Cricetulus griseus: one gene and its partners. The protein of the gene in region 3 interacts with the protein of the main gene of each other region in a pairwise test. Links are inferred from orthologs where the notes say so. Each region holds a gene or a part of one and is shown on either strand. Other genes may lie near its edges.

The links.
Region 1: the proteins of Pnma1 (region 3) and Tead4 interact in binary tests that used the Homo sapiens proteins (3 or more experiments, as listed by UniProt). The two-hybrid records come from large-scale screens. The link is inferred for Cricetulus griseus from reciprocal best matches to the Homo sapiens genes PNMA1 and TEAD4.
Region 2: the proteins of Pnma1 (region 3) and Aptx interact in binary tests that used the Homo sapiens proteins (3 or more experiments, as listed by UniProt). The two-hybrid records come from large-scale screens. The link is inferred for Cricetulus griseus from reciprocal best matches to the Homo sapiens genes PNMA1 and APTX.

Annotation. Positions count from the first base shown.
Region 1 is NC_048601.1:18,179,074-18,185,679, reverse strand, and holds part of Tead4 (transcriptional enhancer factor TEF-3), read right to left. Parts: intron 5,519-6,606; coding exon 5,378-5,518; intron 3,689-5,377; coding exon 3,536-3,688; intron 3,431-3,535; coding exon 3,317-3,430; 3' UTR 1-3,316. UniProt on the Homo sapiens protein: Transcription factor which plays a key role in the Hippo signaling pathway, a pathway involved in organ size control and tumor suppression by restricting proliferation and promoting apoptosis.
Region 2 is NC_048595.1:101,913,921-101,919,669, forward strand, and holds the end of Aptx (aprataxin), read left to right. Parts: intron 1-2,724; coding exon 2,725-2,828; intron 2,829-3,983; coding exon 3,984-4,138; 3' UTR 4,139-4,233; downstream 4,234-5,749. UniProt on the Homo sapiens protein: DNA-binding protein involved in single-strand DNA break repair, double-strand DNA break repair and base excision repair.
Region 3 is NC_048598.1:119,611,783-119,618,488, forward strand, and holds Pnma1 (paraneoplastic antigen Ma1), read left to right. Parts: upstream 1-3,105; 5' UTR 3,106-3,771; coding exon 3,772-4,833; 3' UTR 4,834-5,560; downstream 5,561-6,706.

The DNA of each region.
Region 1 (6,606 bases), on a different chromosome or scaffold from region 3:
AGGTTTTCAGCAGGGGTCACGTGCTGGTAGCCACTGGATAGAACCCCTGAGGGAAGCTCACACTCTTCTGTGTTGTTGTCGCTTCTGTGCCTGGGTGGCCCGGGTCTCAGGAAGCTCCCTCCTGGCACAGCCTACCCTCAGGCCTTCTGCACTCAACCCCCAGCCTGGGTGCAGCACAGACCAGAGATGTAAGACCACACCTCGGGGCCCCTTTGGCGGGCGGTCTAGGACACCACTTGTACACACTAGTTCCTTTTATGTGTGTGGGGTGGTGGGTTTTTAATGTTTTATTTATTTTTAGCTATTGGTTTTGTTTTGTTTGTGCTTTTGCTTGTTTTTCTGGTCAGGACACATTCTTTCCATTCCTGTGACACCTTGTTGGGACAATCCACTCTGTTAGTTATCAGACCCTGTGAGGCAGAAAACCTTTCACCTGTCCCTACTGCCACTTCTGACATTTCCTGCTAACTAGGTAACACCAGGAGGGCTTTCACTCCCGGGGTCGTGACATGGGTGGCCCTCTCTGAAATACTATCAAAGGAACGCACTCCCTTGCTTCACAGCTCCAGGCCTTGCTACCACCCTAAGAGAACTCCAAAGTCGGCATCCACACAGGGAGTGTAGGGGACACAAAAGACTGAACCACCCGCCTTCCTACCTGGCATGCTGGCTGGGTGGGGGTATGCCTACCTTCTGTCACTCGGCATAGCCCTGGGGCACGCCCATCCCCTCCCCGCCTCCAGGACTCTCAATTCTCTCTTGGAATGTTCCTTCGGATCCACTTGTCTGTGGTTCAAGAGTCAGTGCAGATTGTGGGCCTTGGCAGCCTCCCTATGAAGCTAACCTTGGTGCCCTCCCCCTCCACAGCATTTCCCACCGCCTGCAAGTCTCCTCAACTTTAAGCCTCCAGTCACCCCTTCCTTAGTCCAAAGTAGCCGCCCTGGCTGCTTTGCTCATGGACACATTCCCAGAGCCTGACACATCTCCGAAATCAAACAACTACTCACACGGCAAATGAAAAAAATACACCAACAACCCAAGCAACTTCCTCAAGCTCTCGGGGCCTCACTTTCGGCAAATGAAAAAAATACACCAACAACCCAAGCAACTTCCTCAAGCTCTCGGGGCCTCACTTTCTTAATCTTTAAAATAGGACTGCTGGATACAGTGGTAAGCACCCATAGACCCAGCTCCTCAGGAAGCTGAGGCAGGAGGATCACTGGAAATATTAGCCTAGGCCAGAGAGGGCGAGCTCATCTAAAAAAAGAAAAAATGGCGCCAGCACAGTACCATCAGTGAGACTGCTGGGAAAGGGGGGAGCGGGGGTGCCATATTGACTTGAACGGAGTAGCAACTAAGACTGCCATCTTCTATGGTGGCTCTCCCTTAGGTCACTGAGGTCAGTTCACACAGGAGAAACTAAGAATCCACACTGTGACCCAACATCTGGACTGACCTGCTTCCTACAGGAAAAGGTTGTGTCCTTCCTGTCTCAAGAGGCTGCCCACATAAAAGTCTGAAATGGCTGAGGCTGGGGCTTCCCAAGAACACTGCTGCCAGGCAGCAATCACAGGGGGAGAGGGCCTTGACCCTCTTTGACAGCAGGACCTCTACACAGTGCAGTAGGAAGCAGGTCTGGGTCCAGCCACCAGCCTAGCCCGGTGGGGGAGGTGTGCGCTAAATTGCTTTGGGTTGAGGAGAGGGCACTTGGGACCTACAGAAAGACTGGATGGCTTGTCTGTCTTCCTCAGCTGAGATGCAGCCAGACTCCTCCCATGAGCTTATTTGCACACTTCTGGCCTGGTCACTCGGCCTGTGCCAAGCCCTGGGGTCGGCCCCAGCACCAAAACTCCACACAAATAACATCACTAAACATTAGCCATCCTCCTCTCAGAACTTGTCCCTTGGAGGGCTACCTCTTCCCTGAGACCCCTGGATCGCTCCTATCTGAAGGCCAGCTGCTGTAGGATCACCCCACCACAGTGGGCTTCAATCTGGGCTCCTCAGCGGGAACTGAAGCTCCCACGGTGAGTACCGATGCATATTTATTGAACATGTGGATGTGCTCATTGCTACATGAGGCACTGTATAGACACGAGGTAGGTGGATGCTATACCCATTTTGCAGATGGGAAACTGAGGCACCATAACGTTAACACCCCAGAGGTTGCACATCAAAGTCAGGCTAGACTGATTTCCAGAGCCCTTCGTCCCTCACCTCTGTAACATCCCCTCAATGCTACCCTGCCCATTTCTGCACCCCCACAGATACATCCCTGAGTTCTGGGCACACACACAAACATGCCCAGGTTGGATCTTTCTTCCTGAGGCTCCAGGTTACTAGAAACTGGCTCCAACTGGGGAAGCCTTGAGAAAGCAGCAGAGAGCCAGACCCAGGCCCTCCAGAGGGAGGGAAGCAAGGGGCTGGGGCTGAGGGAGAGATCATTGAACTGGCATGGTACCCAGTCACTATTGTTTTGTTTTTTGAGACAAGGTTTCTCTGTGTAGCCCTGGCTGTCCTTGACCTCACAGAGATTCGCCTGCCTCTGCCTCCCAAGTGCTGGGATTAGAGGTGTGCGCCACCACCACCCGGCATGGCCTAGGCACTTCATAGACATCCTCTCCTCACCAGTGCTGAGCGGAGAGAAAAGTGGACGAACAGAGAAGCCAAGGACTTGAATCAGGACTCCCTACTTCGAAGCCTTGCCTCAATCTGGAGTCATAGCCCCCTGCAGGGCCACTGCAGGGCCACCTGAGTAACTCAGTCTCCAGCCAACAACTTTGTTGAAGCCACACCTAAATCTAGCCCTGTTTGCAGGGGTGGGGCCTTCTGCGGTAGCCATCATCACGGCAGGGCTGACAGTGTACACGGGTCACGCACAGCATCTCTGGGTGTGTGACCTGCATGCCATCTGTCCTCAGGCCACTAGTGTGACCAGCAGCAGAGTGTAGGGTTCCAGCAGCTGAGAAGGGACCACTGGGTCTTGAGCTTTAGCGTCTGGAGATAAACAGCTGGCTGAGTCCACTGGGGTTCTGGCTCCTGGACCATCTGAGAGCATCTCTGGGCTTGCTTCCAGCTTGCTTCCTGGTACCTCCTGGTGCCCCCTTCTCCCCTGCCCTCCTGGGCTCATACAGCCAGACCAGCTCCTCTGAAAATACTCGGCACCTTGGGTTTATTGGGGGGTTGGGCACTGCAAGATCAGGCAGTTTGCTTCTCTGCTCGGCTCTCTTGGCACTTCTGGGGGGCTGGCCCTGAAGGTTCCCTCCCAGGTCCCCATTTCCTGGATCTGTCCCCCCACCATCGTTCTCCAAGTCTCTCATTCTTTCACAAGCCGGTAGATGTGGTGCTGAGCCCCATGTTCGCTGGCTGACACTTCGAAGACGTAGGCAATGCACAGCAAGGTCTCCTGTGTGTCTCGATTGGTGACCACCTGCAAGTGAGACAGAGGTGACGGTCAGAGCCCTGGACTGGGAAGCCAAGGGTGCCACCCACCACCTCCGCACAGACCCCCTGGGCATGCGGCCCCCGGTCACACCTGCAGGATGGTGAAGTTCTCCAGCACACTGTTCATCATGTATTTCTCCGGTAAGTGCTTCAGCTTGTGGATGAAGTTGACCATGTACTCACAGAGCGGGGACCGGTGGATACGGTACAGGTAGCGACCGTTCTCATAGCGCGCATACTCTGTCTGTAGAACCCCAGGGACAGCAGAGGCTTAGCATCCCTTCACCTCTTGCCCAAGCCCAATTTAGCAGGGATGTACAAAAATCCAACACAGCCAATGGGACACAGAGGCAGAAGATGATCCAGGACCAGCGCTATCCTCTGAGGTTTCTAGACATGAAAGCAGACCTTTCCGCTCGGTCACTTCCAGGAGAAGGACATGTAAAGACCCGGAAGGAGCGGCCATGAGATGGGGCAGGTGTGGCAAGTGAGGCTGAGCTGAGGGAGGGAACCCGCATCCGTGTGGTGGAACTGCCTTACGCGTGAAGCTTGGTAGTGGATGCTACCAAGGAGCTGGATAGACAGCACATAGGATGATGGCTGGATAGACACATGAGCACCTCAAAACCTTGATAAGTTTAATGCAAGTAAATAACTGTAGGAGCTTTGTAAAAAACTGCCTTTGCTGGGATAGGACAGCAATTCTGAGCCCTGGAGTCCATCTATAGCACCAAATAGAACAAAAGACCACACACACACATTACACTCCCAAGATTAAGAGAAGTTACATGAGTGGGGCTCAGTGGAGCTAACGTGTATCAAAAGCTTCCTGGCAATGGAACAGCTAGGGTTGGGACCCATGAAGCGAAGGTCGAGATTCCCAGGTGCTGCCTGGCACCTAACTGTTGGACATGAGTTTCTGTCAACCTCAGGTAGAGAGGACACCATCAATTCAGACCCACGTAGGCCAAGAGGTGACCAGCCTGACAGCATGTAGTGTTAAGCACCGCAGTGTCACAGTCTTTAGGACCACACGGACACTGTGACATTTAAGGCCATTTTGTCATTCTCATCACACAGTAAGATCAGAAGGTCACAGTCATTGGGACCAATGGGTGGTGAAGGCAACCTGATACTTCCTTAGAGATCAGTCAGGAGTGTTAACACAACCCCAAGAGGAAGTGGGGGTCGGGGGAGGTGTACAGGGATGAAACCCAAGTCCTTAGCTTGAGAGCTCATTACCAGCCTGCCTGCCTTTGACAGGGTGAATGGGAGTGAGGCAGAGAACTCTGCCCAAGTGTAAGGTCTCCAAGGCACTCCAAAAACCAAAAAGCTGTGTGATACTGGGATGCCTGGCAAGGGGACTCGAAAGACTGTCTCAAAAGGGGTGAGGTGGGGATAAAGGGCTGTATAGCTCAATGGCAGAATACTTGCCGAACATACACCAGGCTCTTAGAAAAACTCAAACACCTGGAGAAACAGGGACTCCACAAGCTTGCAGCATTCGTGGAGTAAAAAGTGAGAGGGGAACAGATCCTGAACATCCGTTCTCACGGCCTATGCATCTAGAGAGCTGTGCAACTGAGAAAGGCCATGCCTATCCCCAGGACCAGCTGTCAAAGACACAGATGGATTAGGGAGAAACCCTTGGGCTAGCCCCTGCTTTGGCCCTGCTCTAGAAGTTGCGGGATGCTTGCAAGGAAGGTGTGAAAGGAATCCTGACCAAAAAATTAGTCAGGGATCGGAGGTGTGGGACAGACAATTAAATCAGTAATTTATTAGATGCCTCATACCCAACCTAAAACACACACTTCCTGAAGGTATGTGGAAGCCACATGGGGCCCCCCTCAGCAATCCTGCCCCCAAGAGAGCTCCAGGGAAAGGGGGCACACAGACCATGCCCTTTGTCTACACCCACTGGATGGCCTCCTACCTCAACTTTCTCCACCACTTGCTTGCCAAAGGAGCAGACCTTGGTAGAACAGGTAATGATCATGTTCTCCAGGCTCTCGTACTGGCTGGAGACCCCATAGAAGGCGTTGCTTTCATCGTCAATGTTGGTATTGAGGTCTGCCTGCCGGAGAAATGGAAGCATACGATTGTTTTCAGGGGTGTCCTTAGAGGTCACAGTGCAGGTTCTTGTGAAGGGACTCTAGCCGGCCTGAGCGTGACAAACATGGCTCTGGCACGCCCCGCCCTCCTCCCCATTCCCTCTGCCTTTCTAAAAGCCATTAGACCATATTCCTAAAGCCAGCCATCAAGGTCCTTTCCCTTATCTGACCACTTCCTCTTCCTACCGCTGACTACCAAGGTCCAGCTGTTAAAGTATTGAAGTCCAGCAATCAAAAACCCCCTATGGCTGCCTTAATTAACCTATCCAATTGAAATTAAACACCTCATCCTAACACAGGGTTTCCCCTTTCCCCTTTATAAACCCACCATTTTCCTATGGGCCGAGTCTGTCTCCCTTGTCCTCCTGTCTTTCTCTTTTTTTCCCCTGCCGTTTGTCCCTCTGGGGCAAATAAATCTCCTTTGTGCCCAGAACTTGGTGTTGGGGTTTCTTGTGCCCATACCAGTCCCTTCATCTTGGAAGAGACGGGGCTTTAAAAGAATGGGGGTAGGAGTTGGCTACAGCTCAGTGGGAAGCCGGTTGTTGGCCTGGAAGGACCAAAAAGCAAGAAGAAAAAGAAAAAAACATGGGCACATAGCAAGCGTAAGAAAGCCTCTGCCACCCCCCCCACACCCAGGCTCAATGTAATTCTTTGTTTCCCAAACAATGAGAAATATGTTCACAGCTGCCCACCAGGCAACCACTTCTTGGTTGGATATTGTATTAATTAACTTAGGATCACCGTGACTAAATACCACATATAAACAACCTAAGGAAGGGTTATCTTGGTTGTCTCAGTCCCTCATGGCAGGGAAGGCATGGCAGAATGATCCCATCCTGATGCTAAGAACACGAGATGGTGGCTGTTCTCGTGGCATGGGCCAGGAAAGGGAGAACACAAGCCAAAACCAGGAGTGGGTATAACCTTCAAGGACTTGCCGCTAGTGTCTTATTTCTAGTTTCTAGCAGCAAGGCCACAACTCTTAAAAGCTCTACAACCTTCAAAATAGAGCCACCACAAGCTGGGGACCAAGCATTCCATATGCAAGTCT
Region 2 (5,749 bases), on a different chromosome or scaffold from region 3:
TTTGTGATAAGTCCTCAACCCTTTTATAGTGTTACGGCATCTAGTCAAAATATTGTTTTCAAAAGTAGTTATTTTTTTCTCACACTCTTCAGTGTGGTTCCCTTCATTTTTATTCATTTGCTTGTTCGTTACTGCTTATATTCCATTTTGGATGCTGCACACATACTGGTAGCTTTTGATTATTAATGATTCAAAATGAAATACTACTATTTCCAAGAATGAAAGTTATACAAAAAGTCATTCTACTTAAACAAAGTACAATTATGTGTATATGTGCATGCGTGCGTGCGTGCGTGCGTGCGTGCGTGCATGTGGATGCACACATGCTTGTGAGCCTCAAGTGTCTTTCCCCTCCGGTGCATCTACTTTGTTTTTTTGAGACAGGAACTCTCTCTGACCTGGGACTTGCTGATTAGGCTAGGCTGGTCAGTTAACCCCAGGAGTCCACCTGTCTCCACCTCCTTAGTGTGGGACTTCAAGTACATGACCATGACTGTTTTTTTTAATGTGAGTTCTAGGGGTCAAAACTCAGATTCTCATGCTTGCAGGAGCCATCGACTCAGCCTAATTAACTTAGTTTGAACTGCATGTCCTTTCCCTGTACCTTTTTCCATCTCAACAAGTAGCACTGCCTAAAACTGCACCCAGAAAGTTAGTAAATCTTCTTGGATTTCTTCTAAAACATGACCAAAATTGGGCTGTTTTTTGGTCATCTCTGCTACAGCCCAGCTCTAGTGTAAGCTATGCTGGTTTTTGCCATTGACTGTTGCAGTTGCTTTGTAGCAGATCTCCCTATGTCCTGTCTTACAAGCCCCCCATCTCTTTTTCCCAACAGCCAGAGTGATCTTTTAAAGGTACAAGTGGGAAATTGTCTTCTTAAACTCTTCAGCAGCTCCCTAATTCGGTCAGTATAGAACAACACTCTTACAGGCCTTTAGGCCCATCATGATCTGGCTCTTGCTGAATTCCTGTTCCTCGGCTCTAGTATTTCTGGTCATATACTGTGGCCATATCACCTCCTTTGTGTTCCATGCTTACACCAAGCTGCTGCTTGCCCCAGGGCTTTGAATTTGGCCTCTGCTCTTGCTTTACCTGGCAGAGGTCTTCTCTGGGCACAATTAACTAGCTCCAGCCCTAGTCACTGTCCCACTTCTCTCTCCTTCCCTTTTCTTCCTTCCTCCTCTTAATTTCTTCTTCTTTTATTAGTGTACAATAATTACATATAATGGGTTTCATTATGGCATTTTCATATATGTGTATACTCTTATTCTTGCCTCCTCCTCCTATTTCTACTGAACCCCTTTCTTTTCTCAACTCGTTATTCCTTTTTTTTTTTTTTTTAAGACAGGTTTCACTGTGTAGCCCAGGCTGGCCTTGGGTTTAGGATCCTCCTACTTTAGCTTCCCAAGTACTGAAATTTAAGGCATGTGCCAACATGCCTGGCACCTTCTTTAGTGACTTGGATTTTTCTTGCTTATTTGTCTTTCTTCATTAGAATGTCATTATTCTAGATTTAGAGTCCTTGTGTATATTATTCACTACTAAATTCCCAGTTCTAGGTTTGATTAGGTACTTACTAAGCACTAAATATTCTTGTGTGTGTGTGTGTGTGTGTGTGTGTGTGTGTAGCTAATTGATTTTCTCCTTTTTTATTTTAATATTTATTTACTTATTTATTTGAGACAGGTTCTCACTGTGTAGCTCTGGCTGGCCTGGAATTTGCTATGCAAACCAGGCTTCCCTGGAGCTCACAGAGACCCTGCTGTCTTTTCCTCCAGAGTATTGACATTAAAGGCATGTACCACCATATCTAGCTTTCACCTTATTTTTTGAGACATGGATACTCACTGAACCTGGAGCTTGCTGATTTGGCTAGACTGGTTGGCCAGCAAGCTGTGTCTCCTCAGTGCTAGGAGAGTATGTGTTGCTATGCCTGGCCTTTTCACCTCAGGGCTGAAGATTACATTTAGGTCTTTGTGCTTGCATGGTGTCTCAATTAGGGTTACTATTGCTGTGATGAAGCACCATGACCAAGGAAAGGGTTTATTTGGCTTACACTTCCATATTGCTGCTCTTCATCAAAGGAAGTCAGGGCAGGAACTCAGACAGTACAGGAACCTGGAAGCAGAACCTGATGCAGAGGCCTTGGAGGGGTGCTGCTTACTGGCTTGTTCCTCATGGCTTGCTTTTTATAGAACTCAGGACACCCAGCCCAGGGGTGGCCCCATCCCATCAATCACTAATTTAGAAAATGCCCCACAGGCTTTCATACAGCCTGATCTTAAGGAGTCATTTTTTTTTTCTTTCTTGTTTTAGTTTTTGTTTTTCAAGACAGGGTTTCTCCATGTAGCCCTGGCTGTCCTGGAACTCACTCTGTAGACCAGGCTGGCCTCAAACTCACATAGATTGCACCTGCCTTTGCCTCTTGACTGCTGGGATTAAAGACATGTGGCACCCCCACCTGGCTGGAGGCATTTTCTTAATTGAGGTTGCATCCTCTCAGATGACTTTAGCTTGTGTCAAGTTGATGTAAAACTATCCATCACACATGGCAAGCACTTTGCTCCGTATGTTGTCTCCCAAGCATTTACTGTTCTCAACTAAATGAATGGGTATATTGCATTGAATGAACACAGCATCATAACTTTATGTACCTGTACTTTAACTGGTGTCATTTTGATTAAATCATAGTTTCTAATACTCAAATTTTCAACTTTCAACTAGCCATGTACACCTTCATGTGATCAGCCAGGATTTTGATTCTCCTTGCCTTAAAAACAAAAAACATTGGAATTCTTTCAATACAGAATACTTTCTGGAATCACAAGGTAAATAATATTCTTTTAAAAAAATATTTATTTCATTTTCTTGGATGTTTTACCTGGCCTCAAATGACCCACATACATTTAGTGATCTCTGAAAAACTGGCACTCCTAGAATGAACGAGAATGTTTCACTGTAATAAGATTGCTGCGTTGCTGTGAGCATCCTGGAAGGACCCAGTCAGCTGTTACGTTGGGCTCAAAAGTGTTTCATTTTGACAGCAGAGGAGTTAATGCCGCCCAATCTGCCAGGTGTTCTTGTTATCTGGGGTAGACTCTTCTCTAGGAAGATGTGTGGGAGCTGGTGCTGAATCTGAGAGTCTGTGCTAGCCATGCTCTGCTGTTTGTCACAGTGACAGAATACCTGACATACACTAAGAAATTAAAGTTGTTTCGGTTCATAGTGTCAGAGGACGCGTCCGTGGCTCTGTTGCTGGGCTATGGTGAGGGAGCACACTGGCAGGGAGGGATGGGACGAGTAAAGCTGCTCTCTTATTGGTAGCCAGGGATTGAGAGAAAGAAAGAGGAGAGAGGGCCTAGGGAAGGGACTTGGGACAAAACACAGCCTCAAGGGTGTACCCGGTGACCTATTTTCTCCAGGTAGGTCCCACCTCCTAAAGTTTCTATCATCTCACCAAATAGCATCAACATCTGGAGACCACACTTGCAATTCATGAGGCTTTAGGGGGGACACTTCATGTCCAAATGCTAACAGAGTTCTTGGGTGAGAGGGTCTCAGTAGTTCTTTGTCTCTTTGGCAGAGTTGAGCAGGAGTTTGGGGCTCTCTCCTGTTAGCAGTGCTTCATGAATACTGTGTATATTTGGGATGTAAGCATTTCTCAGATTATTTTCTACGCAACCAGTACTACTGTGGTGTAAATGGGGCAGCTACTGTTTAGCAAAGATCCACTCGAGGAAAAGCGTGATGATAGGCCTATGTTGTGGTACATGGAGTGTGTCCTGAAGGAGTGCATCATCTCAAAGGTAGGTTGCTGAGACTTAAAATCTGGTCAAGTGCATTTTCCCAGTGTGAAGTCTTATCTTCAAGTTCATGAGCCTTAGCATAGCAGATATGTTGATAGTCATGTTTTTAGCCTTTTTCTTGGCATCTTAATGACTGTTCAGAGTAGCTGTCTTCTGAACTTTACTTCTTGTTTGCAGCTGTGATCAAGATGGTTCAAGAAGTTGGTAGAGTGACTGTTCAAGAAGGGACTTCTGAACTCTTGAAGCTGCCTCTTCGTTGCCACAAGTGTCAGCAGTTGCTGCCTTCCATCCCGCAGCTGAAAGAGCACCTCAGGAAGCACTGGGGCGGGTGACACTCTCCCCGGAGACGGAGTGCAGTGCCAGGGCTGTCTGCATTGTCTGTGCCCCACGCAGTCCTGAACTAAAACATGCAGCTTTTCAAAGCAAAGCTTATTTCTTCTTGAGGGGCCACATGGGGTGACTGCTTAGTTCAGGACTTGGGAATTTGGGTTTGTATGGGTATATTCTCTGGTGGTGGAAGCTGGGACATCTCTGAGCACCTTACCAGGACCATGTCAGGCCTAACTGATGAGAGGAGGAAACAAAACCAGCTTGAGACTCAAATGCAGGATGTAAAAGCAGAGGGCTAGTAATATATTTTGTTCCTACCCTTCCCCTTCCCCCAGACTATGTAGTATCTTTTCATCAGGGTAGCTGAGGTTCTAGAGAGTCTAGTTCTCTGACTTTAATCTGCTCTACGATAGTCTTCTTCCCTCTATGAGGAGGCTTTCAGTCTACTGTACTAGGCTGTGTGTCGAAGCGAAAATGTGTGGCAGTCATCTGCACAGAGAGATGGGTTGCATGTGACTGTCTGCGGAGGAAGTGGTAACATTTGGCACAGTGTTAACAGTGCAGTCTGTGCTGAGGGCAGCCAGGGCAGTGTGTACTGTCAGCTTCAGGCAGAGGTTTAACTGTGGCTCCAGCCACAGCTCTTGAGAATTACAGAACATACAGCAAACTTCAGATAAAGTTTTTCCCAATGTGCCTTGGAAAAATAGATGTTGCTAGACATTTAATTTCTGTCTAATGCTATGTAGTTTAGCAATCTAATATTAAAATGAATATTTGATTAGAGACTGCAAGGAGGGGCTGTATCAGACAGCCTGTCAACCATAATGGACATTCCAAGAATGAGGTGACCATGCCTACATTCTTCATTCTGCTCCAAATCGATTTTTTAGGGCTGGAGAGATGATTTAATGATTAAGAGTGTGCATTGCTTTTCTAGAGGACCTGAGTTTTGTTCCCATCATCCACAGGCAGTTCACAACCACCTATAGCTCCAGGGAATCTGACACCTTCTTCTGACTTCCATGGGTACTATACCCTGGTGCACACGAACCCAAATACACACATGCACATTCATACATAATCAGTACCTTAAAAATTAGATCTCCTAGAGGAAAAATATGTAAGTAATGACTTGGAGGAACCAGACAAAGGACATGAAGTTTTGAAGTATATTAATCTCCTAACTCTCTTCTCCCAAATAGGTTTTTATCACTATGGGGAGGAAGACTTTCTGAACTCTGGATGTAGCCCTAGCTATCCTGGAACTCACTATGTAGACTAGGCTGTCCTTGAACTTGCATAGATCTACCATTCTGTGCCTTCAGAATACTGAGGTTAAAGTATACTACCACCACCAAGATAAACAAACAACCAACCAACCTCCCAAATATACAAGGATTAGATACACATTGCCTGTATTTAAAATTCAGTGTTTTCTTAGTGAAATATTGTCACACACTATTCCTTTTTGCAGAAATGCTCACATCCATCACCTGCTTCTAGATTGTTCTTTCTGTTTGGGTATTGATAATGTATTAGTTAACCTCACCTTCATGTCAGCTAGAAGCTCTGCTCTTATCCAGCTTCACATACACTAGTTCCTGGTGTCAACA
Region 3 (6,706 bases):
CCAGTTCCATAGGGGCCTAAGTTATTTTTCTGATATCATTACTCAGCTTTAGTTGTGCGGAAGGACGTCTAAGTGGATGTGTCTGAGTGGTCAAACTTGTTAAAGATTCTTTCACTGTTCTGTAGCAGATGGCCCGCAGCCCTGCTGGAAAGTGGAAATAGACGAGGTGTTTTGTTTTTAAGCTATGCACTATTGGGTATTTTTTGTATTCATTTATTCATTAGTATGGTTCTATGAGAACTGCCTATGAAAGTAACAAAAGATGTCCCCCTAGATGCCTGGATGGTTCCTAAACCTACAGCTTCCCCATTAATTTTTTTTTTTTCCGTAGACTTCTACAAACTCAAGTCTCAAGATTGCAAAAATCTGGTACCCTCTGGAAGCAAGAGGACAACAAATTTAGGCTTTCTCCTAAATCACTTGTATAATGAGTGCCTTCACAGCTTAGCCCCAAAGTGCTACTTAGGTTTCCCAAGGTTTTTTTCTATTTAAACCATATTTGGCTCAGGCCCCTTGGACATGTGGTATCAGACATCTACAGCCACACGAGACCCTTCTGCTCAGTGGTACCTGCCAGTCCTTAGAAATCTTAATAAAAAGAAGCAGTTTTACTTTTCTAAGTTGACAGAGACCAGACCAGATGAACATAGCCAGAAAAAAAAAAAAATCAAGATGCTACCTATTGGTGGTGATCTCATGAGACACTTTTTGAAGAGTCCATGCTCCGGGGTGCAGCATGAAAACTGTACTATTTCACGGGCAGATCCACTTGTGGCGAGTAGCCAGAGGCTGGCACAGGCACATCCTTACTGGTGCTTTCTCATATGAACACACTGGGCTTGGTTTTTGTTGTTTTATTATTAACTATTATTATTATTCAGAGCTTTTTGCTTTAAGAATAAGTAACAACTTCAGCTTGATATTAGCCTTCCTAGACCATGTCACCTTACCTGTCCCACAGCCTCCACCGGCATTCGGCAAAGGGCATGAAACTGACATAGTGCCTGTGTTCTGGACCATTTCTGGGGTCTCTTACCCATCTAAGGAGACAGTGCCGTCACTACTGTCCTCCACGCCTTCAGCAGCCCCCTCACAGCTAAGGTACATATCTACCTTTCTGCAACCGCAACCCCACCCCACCCCACCCCCGCACAGAGATCCTGTGCTGCCAGTGTCTAAAGGGATTGCCTATATTTAACTGCCTCAGTGACCTAACCTCTTTCTTCTCACGTGCCAGGTGTTAAAGGTGAAGGAGGAAACACACGTACTCAAGCCTCAGCTGTTTAAATGTTTTTACTGGGGCTCACTTTTCTGGGTTGTTATTTATTACTAGACTGGCAAAGCCTAACTCCTTAGGTTTTTATGGGAAGTATGCATATTTTTATAAAAAAAAAAGTTGTGTCTAACCCACATTTGGCTGTGTTTGTTGCCTCAAAAAAAAAAAAAATTGCAGCTGTTAGAACTTTTCCTCATTTGTCTGCTAAGTTGAAGGCCTTGTTGAGGACAGAGCACAGGAACAGCCTTGACAGTCTGTAATTATTGTACAAATATTTTAATAGCATAAAATAAGTATATTCCTTTTATTTTGAAACAAAATGATCAGACACTGCCTTTCATGTGTTTGTTGCCTGTGGCACTCTTTTTAAAAAAGACTGTTACATATTAAATAGTGTACATATATATAAATATTACCTCTTTTGCTGTACAGTTGTGATAGACCAGACTGAAAATTTTATTTTTTGTGTGCTTTTTATAAAAAAATTAATACACTAAAGAGAATCTTGCTGTGATTGTAATGTACCTATGTAACTTATTTACTTTTGAATGTTCTGTATCTTAAGACCTTTTATTAAATAAAAATTTTAAAAAATTCACTGTTGAATGCCATATTCTTGGTTTTTCTTTTTCTTTTCTTTCCTTTTTTTTTTTTTTTTTTTTTTGAGACACGTTTTCTCTGTATTGTTTTGGAGGTTGTTCTGGAACTTGCTCTGAAGACCAGGCTGGCCTTGAACTCACAGAGATCCGCCTGCCTCTGCCTCCCGAGTGCTGGGATTAAAGGAGTTTGCCACCAATGCCCGGCGCCATATTCTTTTTTTTGTAACGATTTGTTTATTTTTATTTTATTTGCATTTGTGTTCTGTGTCTGCATGTGTATCAGTGTGAGGTTGTTAGATCTTTGGGAACTGGGGTTACCGACAGGTGTGAGCTGCCATGTGGGTTCGGGGAATTGAACCCAGGTCCTTTGGAATAGCAGCCAATGCTCCTAACCAGTGAGCCTTCTATCCAGCCCCCAATGCCATATCTTTATAGGGGTGGGGTTTGTGTGTTTATTTATTTATTTGATTTTTTGAGGCAGGGTTTCTCTGTGTAGTTTTGGAGCCTGGCCGGGAACTCAATTTATAGATCAGGTTTGCCTTGAACTCACAAAGCTCCTCCTGCCTCTGCCTCCCGAGTGCTGGGATTAACGGCATGGGCCACCAAGGCCCGCCTGATTTATAGGGATGTTTTTGCCAGCTGGGATTGACAGGCCTTGCTTGAAGAGAATTTACCCTACCTTTCTGAGCCTTAAGCATTCTCTTTTGTTATCCTGTATACTCAGTAAGATCAAGAAATGAAAGTGTTTGCAGTTTGCCTGGCTACAAAGAAGTAGCAGCAGCAGCATTTTGTTGGTTTTTTTTATATATATATATACAAAATTTAGGCAAGAAAGCATAGTAAGTCTCACAGGAACCTGGAGATGGCATTCTGTCTTTTGCTTTCCTGGGGAGGAGCAAGCAGCAGCTGTGGTGTGTGGTCAGGAGGTACGCAGAAGTCAGAGTGCTGAGTGTTTTCATGGGCTGCATAGTGAATGCATAAGCTGGATGAGCAACATGAGACAGACAAGTCTGTCGTGGTGGATGCGTATCAATAAGGCCAACTTAAATTCACAGCAAAATTAGATTAAGAAAAAAAGAAAACGATGCTTTGCAATATTTATTGTTAAGAAAGAAGCTGGGAAATACGTGTGTGTGTGTGTGCGCGCGCGCGCGCGCCATCACAAAATAGACTCCTCAACCCCTCGGTACCATAGCAACCGCCAGATCCTCTGGAGCTCGCGCATCTCCCGTCGTCATGGATACGGTTGCCACGGCGACACTGACGAGCGGACCGGCCCCGCCCTGCACTGCAGCTGCACGGCGGCGGCCGTTGCGGGAGCGCGCTGCTCTAGACGCTGAGCGGAGCTGCCTCCATCCGGCCTCCCGCCTTCCGCGCCTCCCTGAGGCCTCCGTCCCCGGTGCTCGCCTGCTGCCGCAGCCGCCGGACCCGAGTACCGCCTCTCCCGGCGTCTTCCCAGCCACTGCCTCGCGTGACCCTACGCCCGCGCCTACCGCCGGCCGGCCGGCCCGAGAGCGGCGGGGGGGAGCTGCCACACCCCGCGACCGCACCCGGCCGTCTCCCTCGTGAAGCTGAAGCCCACCGCCTTGCGCCAACCTTGCTTCTCCCCTGCCCGCCGTGAGGCCACGAATAGCTGCGGCCAGCCCGCACCTGCTCGGACCAAAGAGGGCGACATTCGATAGGCAGAGTGCCCCGAGGCACCTGACACTACTGACTTTGGGACCCGGAAGGGACGAGACTGGACTCCGGTGTCACTGGTAATTGTGGTTGCTTGAAGCTTGTCGCCCCCTGGCCTACCCGGGGGAGGGAGGCATGTTGTATTGTCCTAGGTCCTATAGCACTGCGAGCCAGTCCAGTCGGTGTCTGTAGAACTGGCACCCTTAATAGTGGGGCGAAATGGCTTTGACGCTCTTGGAAGACTGGTGCAGGGGAATGGATGTGAACTCTCAGAGAGCTCTGCTGGTCTGGGGGATCCCTGTGAACTGTGATGAGGCTGAAATCGAAGAGACCCTCCAAGCTGCCATGCCCCAAGTGCCCTACCGAGTACTGGGGAGAATGTTCTGGAGGGAAGAAAATGCGAAGGCAGCCTTGTTAGAGCTCACCGGGGAAGTGGATTACTCCCTGATCCCTAGAGAGATGCCAGGCAAAGGAGGGCTCTGGAAAGTGTTCTTTAAGCCCCCCACTTCTGATGCGGAGTTTCTGGAGAGGCTGCACCTCTTTCTAGCTAGGGAAGGGTGGACTGTGCAAGATGTTGCTCGTGTGCTTGGGTTTCAGAACCCTGCTCCCGCTCCAGGCCCAGAAATGCCAGCAGAGATGCTCAATTATATTTTGGATAATGTTATTCAACCTCTTGTTGAGTCCATATGGTATAAGAAGCTGACGCTATTCTCTGGGAGGGACATTCCCGGGCCTGGCGAGGAGACCTTTGATTCCTGGCTGGAGCACTCGAATGAGGTCATAGAAGAATGGCAGGTGTCTGATATAGAAAAGAGACGGCGGTTGATGGAGAGTTTGAGAGGCCCTGCTGCTGATGTCATTCGCATCCTCAAGACCAACAACCCAGCCATAACCACCGCGGAATGCCTGAAGGCTCTTGAGCAGGTGTTTGGGAGCGTGGAGAGCTCTAGAGATACACAGGTCAGATTTCTGAACACTTACCAGAACCCCGGGGAAAAGTTGTCATCTTACGTCATTCGTCTGGAGCCTCTGCTACAAAAGGTAGTGGAAAAGGGGGCCATTGATAAAGATAACGTGAACCAGGCTCGCCTGGAGCAGGTCATCGCCGGGGCCAACCACAGTGGGGCCATCCGAAGGCAATTGTGGCTGACTGGGGCTGCGGAACGACCGGCACCCAACCTCTTCCAGTTGCTGGTGCAGATTCGAGAGGAGGAAGCCAAGGAGGAGGAAGAGGAAGCTGAGGCAGCCCTTTTGCAGCTAGGCCTGGAGGGGCACTTCTGAGTCCCTGGATCAGTCTGGCTGCTTTTGTTATCCCTGTGCGGTTTTACAAGCCTTGCCTCTCATAGTAAAGACCTAGCCTCCTGTTTTTGTTTTGTTTTCTGGGGGATGGGATAGGGGAGTCAGGCCTGCGTATTTGTGTAGCAGTCACAGAATTGCGTGATTGGCCAGGGCTGCAACAGTAGAGGTGGTTCATACTGCCTAAAATGAATGCTTGATGCAAGCCCTCCTAGTGACATCTTTGACAGTTGTGAAAAATGTGAAGCTGAGACACTTCCTGTCAGGATGATTGTGAAAGTGCAAGCCTGCTTCACAGGCTGTATGGTACAGACTGACATTTGTTACTAATATTGTGGATAGTTTTACTGTACATTGTCCCTAATTTATATACATGGGAAGAATATGAGTCTGTTAGATGATACTGCTCATTTTGAAAATTCAGATTTCTCATTCCTCACGGCTCAACATCAGAACCAGTTTACCAGCAAAGTACTCTAGGATTAAAATTGGCAAGTTAGAAAAATGTGATTTTTATGAAGAGGCACAACCTACTTTTCATGGTGTAAGATACAAATATAAGTCAGGGGGAATTTCCATAAACAAGCTACATTTTCCCCACATGAATTATTTGTCATTTAATTATTGGTCATGTTGATGCTAAGTGTTCTAAATTTGAAGTTATCAAATAGATGTATACAAATAAAAATGTGAAAATTCTCATCTTGCTTTTCCTGACATGTATAAAAAATTTTCAGTGTAACTTAGCTCTGCACATTTTTTCTCTGCACATTTTTGCTCATGTCAAAAAATTTTTTAATCTCCTTGCTATGAGCTTAAATTGCAATATCACCTACACATTCTTGTGTTGCCGGTTCCTCGGTTATTGTTTTGTTTCTTTTTCACGGTCCCACTCGATAGCTAGCTGAGGCTGGCTTGGAATTCACTCTGTAGCCCAGGCTGGCCTCAAACTTGTAGCAATCCTCCTGCCTCCAGCCTCCACAGTGCTAGGGTTACAGGTGTGAGCCACCTCACCCAGCTATTTCTTTTAGATACAGTCTCACTATCTAGCTCCGGCTAGTCTTGAACTTGTGGTATCTATCCCTGCCTCTTCCTACTGGATGCTGGGATCATAGGCATGTGCCTTCACATTCTGCTTCTGCAATGCCCTTTAGTGGCTTCTGTTTTTGCATGACTTCAAGGCAAGCGATGATGGCTGAAGAGATGAAAGTGTATTTCTATGAAATTTGACCAAAAAAATTGAAATGGGGCTTAGGTTTTCTAGCAACCTTTTTCATTTTGTGACTTTAACACCTTGTTTCAGTGAAGAAATATGGTCGAGTCATGTGTGTTCAAAGTGAGCATTTGTTTCACGGCAGTCATTTTATACTAAGATGAGAAAAGGGAAAGGCTCTAGAGATGCTGTGACTGAAGATGCTGCCCCTGAGCTCCTGCATAGATACAGAAGTGCTGTGAAGCTTTCTCCAAGGTTTTAAGATCAGAGCTCCGCTTCATGGAGGCATTGGTGGGGTTGGCAGAGCTGGCGCCATTTGTTAATTGTGACTATGAATTTATGAATGCTAACATTGGTGTTTTTCCTACATTTTTCTTTTTAAAATAGTGTGTGTGTATGTGTGTGTGTGTGAGGGGGGCTGTGCATATTATGGTATGCATGTGGAGGAATCCTTTATCTCCTTCTACCATATGGGTCCCTCAACATAAAGTTCTGTTTCTTAAACTTTTATTCATGCACACACTTTGCTTTCATGTGCTAACCAACCACACTCCCAACTCCTATATTTAGATATACATTCTTAAAGACAAATATGGATTCGGCATCTTTCACATAGGGGCATAGTACAATTTTTGTGTGTGGGCA